Oryzias latipes: one gene and its partner. The protein of the gene in region 2 purifies or fractionates together with the protein of the main gene of each other region. This does not show direct contact. Links are inferred from orthologs where the notes say so. Each region holds a gene or a part of one and is shown on either strand. Other genes may lie near its edges.

The links.
Region 1: the proteins of ryk (region 2) and pcdh7 purify together in Homo sapiens (affinity purification with mass spectrometry; 3 studies listed by BioGRID and IntAct, with this or other methods). This does not show direct contact. The link is inferred for Oryzias latipes from reciprocal best matches to the Homo sapiens genes RYK and PCDH7.

Annotation. Positions count from the first base shown.
Region 1 is NC_019876.2:16,449,494-16,453,148, forward strand, and holds part of pcdh7 (protocadherin-7), read right to left. Parts: coding exon 2,644-3,655; intron 1-2,643.
Region 2 is NC_019862.2:2,768,300-2,771,954, reverse strand, and holds part of ryk (tyrosine-protein kinase RYK), read left to right. Parts: intron 1-776; coding exon 777-886; intron 887-1,004; coding exon 1,005-1,164; intron 1,165-3,655. UniProt on the Homo sapiens protein: May be a coreceptor along with FZD8 of Wnt proteins, such as WNT1, WNT3, WNT3A and WNT5A. Involved in neuron differentiation, axon guidance, corpus callosum establishment and neurite outgrowth.

The sequences.
Region 1 (3,655 bases), on a different chromosome or scaffold from region 2:
CCGCATTACTGTTGGACTGCATTATTTTCCGGCGCTAGCGTGAACGGTCTGCATAAAGTAATAAAATCGAGTGCACTGGTAAGAGAAAGCACTTCATCGACTCCAAGCAGGTTAAAACAGGGTGGAGCATAACGTCTACGGCCAAAAAAGTAGCAAAGGAAATCACAAGACTATTAACTAAATAAAAGTCAGATTAGGCAACGAACAAAATCTTATTTCATTGACACTCATTAAGTGGTGGGCTAGAAGCAAAGATCTGCTTTCCCCCAGTTGCCTAGTTACCTATTCCTGCAAGTTATCTTGGGTAGAATGGTGTGTTCAGGTGAGAGAAGAAGGGCACTAAGGCGAAATCTTATATCTCTATGACCACAATTAGTGTTTAGCCCAATTGGTTCTCACCGTCATCTCTAGTTGTCCAACCCAACCTGGAGTCCCAAAAAGAAAAAGTGAGAGCCATTCTCTGCAACTGAGTCTATCTTTTCATCCTCAAAAAAAGTCTGGAATACTAATATACCACAATAAAAAATAAATAAAACACCACAGAATATGTTTAATGGCCAAAATAAAACACAAAAACTGCTGTTTTTATTTGAGTTTTTATGCTTAAAGCGTCCCCTATGATTCAGGTTTTGACACCATGCTTCCTCCGACCCACACACACACACACACACACACACGCACAAACACGTGTCCTTGAGTGTTGTCTCAAGCTCAGGAGGCCAGACAAAAGCATATATTTTTAGACGCAGTGTCTCTAAAGCCAAGAGCATGACCGCTTCCCCGCCTAATCTGATAAAGATGTAGCTGTTTAATGCCATAAATTGGAGCACATGAGCAAACACCTTCCCTTCAATTAGCTGCCGTTGCACAGCAATCGCGCTCAGGATTGAGAAAAGTCTTTACTGTCTGGGATTTCCCAACCTAATGGGTACAAATTTGTAATTCGAATAACTGCTGGATGCTCTATATTTGATTACGAACCCATCTGCGCGGCCCGGTAGATACAAACTATGGTGTATTTCAAAGATTACAACTTTATTCCACTATATTTTCACTTTTGAATGGTTCCATGAGAATTCCTGCAGCGTTAATGCAGAAAGTAAATAAATAATTATATAAGCGGAGCATAGTGACACACAATATATGCTGCTGCCGCAGCAGCAAATAGAGTGCCCTTTTAATTATGCAGGAGACATCCGAAAGCAACAGCACTCCTCACACTCCGGGAAGCAGCTCAGTGAATACACCATATTAGAGGCTGTAACAGACAGAGAGCCTGGGAGGGAAAAAAAAGGGAAGGGGAGAGCTGCGGGGAAAAAAAAAGGGAACTGAAATGATTTGAGATGAGAAATAGTGGTGAAAAAAAAAACCAGATGGGAGTTACAGAGATGTGAAGACAAGTCAAGGCACAAGCACACTATTGTAAGTAGTATGATGCAGCAGAGGCTGGGGGGGGGGGGGGGGGGGGCACTGGACCAAAGGCGGCAATTGGGGAAGTACAGGATACAAACGAGTTCTATACTCGACCATTGATGGATGGGGTTTAAAACAGAGACCCAACAACGGACGCTTATTGGATATGCGATGACCGGAGCAATACAAGTCTTCAATGCCAAAGGAATAGAACTGAAATAAAGTAAAAGAAAGATCAATATTTCATTAAAACTGTAATGTACAGGGATGGTGTTATTGTCCCTTAAAAAATAAAGAAAAAAAACCCAAAGAAAATCGACTTGTTCTAGAGGGTTTAAAGGGAATGTCTCTCTACCGTTGTAGCGGAACATAAGGATTGTTTCCCAAATCTCATGGAATTAAAATCTCTGATCAAATACAGCCTCCAACTGTAAAACTTTGGTTGGAGGCTGTGCAAAAAAGCTATACAAAAAAAGTAGAAAAGAGGCCAGAAGAGGTGGATATTTGCACGCAGGCAAAAAGATAAGACGCTGAGTTGCAGTGACGATGTGAGAATGTTGCTGTCCGATGGATTGATGCAAACCACAAAGCAAGGTGGAATGTTAATTAGGCCTCCTGGTTAGGCGTTTCCCCTCTAACAGCAACTCTAATAGTTATAAAACCACAAGCAAGTTGATTTTTCAACCTTTTTTCAAATCTTCTGTTCCTCACACCTTCCCTTTCATAAGACGAAAGGGCAAGCAGTGTAACCGCCAGAGGGGGCAGGTCATGGCTTGACACTTCTAAGGACAGTGAGGGGATTGTTGCCAGCTCTCATCACCCAACCTTTGGGATGTAATAACTGCAAACCAAGTCCTTATGTGAGCTGTCTGCAACCCTCAAACACATTTTTGCCGGGGTTAGTAGCTTTGACGCCCCTGACGGAAAAGGCAGCCTGCGATGTGAGAGAAAACAGTCAAACATGTTTAGTCGAGGGGGTAACCGAATCCCCTACCCAGCCCTCTCTGAACCTTTTCCATTTCTTCCCACATAACATGTGAATGGCACTCCAAACCCCAAACTGATCAATACCACTAACTTGACACACATTAGCACCATAAAGGCAACAAGACTACTGAGACTAGCACTGTCAGAAAGCATTATGGTGGAAAGGACACTAAGAAGAAGAAGCAGGAGACATTTAGGAGTGGTGGAGGGAAACAAGGGACAACTGACGTGAGCTTTTCTTACCTGTTTGTTGTATTTGTTGATCGTCTGAGTGCTGTACTCGGAGCAGTGGTCAGATCCGAGGGAAATGTTATCTCCGGTGCCGACAAAGGTGTTGGCAGGGGGCAAGTCCTGAACTGCCTGGTGCTTTTTTCCCGCTGTCGGTGACTGTGGGTGAAGTTGGACGGTGGGAAGAGGCGAACTGGACTTGTAGTGCCGTGCCAGGTCTGGGCTCCCCGGCCCGCCGTTCACCGAGCGGTACCTGCCCATGCCGGGGCTGTCCGACAGCTTCTCGCTGACGCCATCGTAGCGCTGCCCATTGGGTTTGGAGGCCTCTACGGTGACGATGCTACTGTAGAGAGGCTGTTTGGACTTTTGTTTCTTTTTATCCTTTTTAGGCTTTTTAGACTTCTCATGCTGCTGCGGCGTAAAAAAGTCTTCGTGATCCTTCTTGCCAGCCTCGTAGCCGTTCTTGTTTTTTGGACGGCAATAACGGGCCATAACAACGACCAGAATGATGAGGATGACAGTCATAATGCCTGACACCACTCCAATTACAATACTCAGACGCTGTTTGCTTAGATCATAGTTGGGGTCCCCTGCAATGTTAGTGTTCAGAGATGTGCTCAAACTCCTAGCCACTTGGGTCTCCACTATTGTGGAGTTAGATAGAGTCTCATTAACATACACATGAACCAAGGTGGTGGTGCTCTGAGAGGGTTGCCCATTGTCAGTCACCTGGACCACTAGTCTGTGGAGGCCATAATGCTTCTGCTCCAGCTTAGCCATCAGCGATATGACCCCAGTCGCCCCATCAATCTCAAAAAGCCTGAAGGGATTTCCCCCGATGATGCTGTAGTTGAGGTCTGCATTTATCCCAGTGTCTGTATCTGTGGCTATTACCGTTCTGACCACCGTCCTGACAGTACTTGAGGGAGGAAGGAGCGTGTAGGAGCTGTTTATGGGGAAAGTTACTGTTGGAGCGTTGTCATTTTCATCCATGACAAAGAGCGAGACCGTAGCAGTGGCTGATCTG
Region 2 (3,655 bases):
TATCCAACTGTCAATCTCACTCTACCTTTCCCTCACTCATGAACAACACCCCCCTTGGGGCAGGAGCTTTCCACCCAAAGAGGGCAGACAACCTTTCTCCAGTGTAGAATTATGGTCTCCACCTTGGAACTGTTCTATTTTATTCAGCTGCTTCACACTAGACTGCACACCACCCCAGTGGCACTGATGGCCCTGGTTGGACAAAGGCTTTAGAACAACATCATCTGCTGACCCCATAAAGATTATGAACAGAACCAACTGAAGAGGGGTCCAATGTGAACTGGGAACAGGTTCGACTTCCCGCTAATACAAGCCGAACTACCGCTCTGTAGTAGGGGGCCCCAGACTCCACATTCCCATAGCTCCTCCCACTGAACACTGTGGGGGAGAAGATGAAAAGCTGTCTCCAAATCCACAAAGCCCAAGTGGATTTGACATGAGAACTCTTGTGAACCATCCAGCTCTCTGCCTAAGGTGTACATCTGATCTGCTGTTCCAGCATCCCATACTCTGAGGGGCAAAGTTAACAGTAATAAAGACAAACGGTCGGCAATCCACAGAGCAACCAAAAGCACGCTTTTAATTACACATCACATACATCAAGGAATTGGTTGGTTTTTCGTCATAACGTTCATGTGTGACGGCGGTTTTTGGCTCAGTGTGAAGGAAACAGGGAGGCTGGAGCTACTAGCTTGACATTTCCCACTCCCTCTTGTTTAGTTTTCCTGTCTTTCTCTGAAATGCACATTGACACTCTGTCTCTCATTTCCTTTCAGGCCATCTCTCAACAGGACTTGGTTTACATGGCCATCCAGATCGCCTGTGGAATGAGCTACCTTGCACGCAGGGAGGTCATACACAAAGACCTGGCTGCGAGGAACTGCGTGTGAGTGTCCCTAAAGCGCCTCTGGTTCTTCCTCGCAGCTTTCAGGTGACTCTTGTTTTGGGATTTGGTTAGGAGCTAAGGAACACACCTGTTCTGTCCCTTGTCCTCCCTCTGACAGCATTGACGACAGCATGCAGGTGAAGATTACAGATAACGCCCTGGCTCGAGATCTATTTCCCATGGATTACCACTGTTTGGGGGACAATGAGAACCGACCCGTTCGTTGGATGGCCCTGGAAAGCTTGCTCAACAACGATTTCTCCAGTGCCAGTGATGTGGTAAGAATTACAGCAGCAGAAGAAACCTTCCTGTCTTCCAGTAGGATGTACTTTCAGGAAACATTTCCAGACGATGGTCCAGGAAACGACTTTAGCGTGTCTTAGTCTTTCTGAAATTCTTGGTCAAGGTGTTAAAAGGGAGGCCCCCCACCCCCGATGCTGCATGTGTCCCTGCTTCTCCCTTCCTTCCTGTCCAGAGACAGCAGAGTGGCGAAGGCAGTGGCTTTCGGGAAGCCTGAAGCCCCTCGGAGGCTCTGACATGCCCTCCACCCGCTGCCAACATTCCTCTTACGGTCATGCTGCTTTGTGGCAGCCATGGTTGTAAAGCAGGAAGCTAAGCGCCTGTTGAAATCCTGACATGCGGCTGTGCATCACTGCTATGCAAATAAATAGTCACTGGCCGTGTTTTTGCTTGCGTCTGTTAGAGCACCGTGTCATCGTGTTGGCATCTTGCTGGGAATGGTGCAGTGGGAAGTCCTCTCACTGCGTGGATGTTCTTTCTTTTCTTCACACCCGTTTTCACCCAATCACAGCTGCTGATGTTCTGAAACCCATCCATACTTTGGGAGGGGGGTACGGATGCCAGGTTACTACCAGCTACTTTGGTTTCCTATAGATTTAAGCTTGACCTTCACTTCTTCCATAGGGTCATTTTGCTAAATTTTTTTTCTCCTATAAATTTATAATTGAGTAACAGACGGGGATTCTGACGCACAGCAGAATATATTAATATAACATTCCAAAATGCAAACCTAAGATTATAGCCTTTTAGGCTCCTTTCCATCTTTAGTTCCTATAGAACAGGTTGATGGTCTTTAAAGAAAAAGGTGAGTTAAGTCAACACAGAAGAGACACAGATGGGGATGTCAATAGAACAACACAACAGGGAATTCATTGACATAGAAGCAACAATTAAGGGGGGAAAACATACAATATAAATGTATACAGATGTGTGGGGCAGTTTAATTGTCTAAAACAGCTCAGAGTTGTCTTGTAGATGCCCCGACTGAAGGCGCTTGTCCTGAGGCGAGCAGTGCAATCACCCCTGGATACTGCTCCAGTAGCCCTGTTTGGGACTTTTGTCTGTAGTTTGCACCCTGGGTCTTCACGGCTGACATGACCTTGGATACAATGAGAGAACCTCAGGGGCGGCCGTGGTGCAGCGGTAGGGCGGTTGACCCATGATCGTAAGATTGCAGGCTCGATTCCCGCCTTGCACGCCCATGAGTCGATACGTCCTTGGGCAAGACGCTGAACCCCACCTTGCCTCTGGTGGGAGGTTGGCGCCATTGTTCAGCGTCGGAGCCGCCACCAGTGTGTGAATGTGTGTGTGACTGTAAAGCGGTTTGGGCCTTGTAGGTAGAAAAGCGCTATACAAGTCAGTGTTTTTCAACCGGTGTGCCGTAGGAGATGGTCAGGTGTGCTGTGGGAAATTGCCCTCATTCACTGATCTAAAAACATTTCCATCTCCAGGAAATCAGCTCTTTGTTCATCCAAACAGGCCCTGATAAATCACTGAGTAGTTAGGAATATGAAAGATCATAAAATACTTTTTTCTTGTGTTTATTTGATTCTATTAAAGACATTTTGATAAGAATGACGGTACCACGATTTAGCTGCAGCATCAGCTGTTTTCGGAACAGTCCCGCCCCTTTAACTGTCTCCACCAATCATTCTTGGAGGCTTAATCACACATCATCAGTCTGACCAATCAGAAGTGGTTAAAGTCTTCACTTCCTTGTTCTGATTCTGCTCATAAGTCTCTTAGTTCGAAAAAAAAAAACAAAAATACCAGCTAAAGCTCGTCTTCAGCGGTGTAGCTTTCCACAGAATCCGGTGTCAGACCGTGGAACAAGTGAACAAAACCATGAAGCTCAGAGACGTTAGTCCGTCTGCGTTTGCCAGCTATTCGCACTACATCTCCCATAATGCATTGGGTTAAAGTGACAGCGTCTCAGCGCACAATGAGTCTTGACGTCTTGAAACCACAACCCACACGCATCAGTTTTTAAATTTTCTAACTTAACTTTTATTACATCTTTCAGAAAAAACAGCTGCAGCTTCCAGCTTTTTCTGCAACAATTATCTCAAAAATGTATGTGAGATTGTGGAGGGACTGTAGATCAATACAGACTATGAGTTTATCCTTTTTTTCTTTTTCGATGCTGGTGTGCCGCGGGATTTTTGTCAAGGTTAAAGTGTGCCGTGGCTCAAAATAGGTTGAAGAACACTGGTATAAGTATACACCATTTACCATTTGCTATTATTGGTAGAAAAAACAGGTTTGATTGAAAACTCCAAAAAGTTCCCTTCTGGGCTTAAGAAAATAAACAAAGAGTGAGAAGAACTGCAGTAATTATTGTTCTCATTCCTTAAAAGAAGTGACTTCTGAAGATGCATCCTGATAGTAAAAAGATGTTTGTGTCATACTTTGTCATGCTTTGAGACTGAACTGTGGCGGGAAAAATCCTGATTTCCTATTAACCCCCCC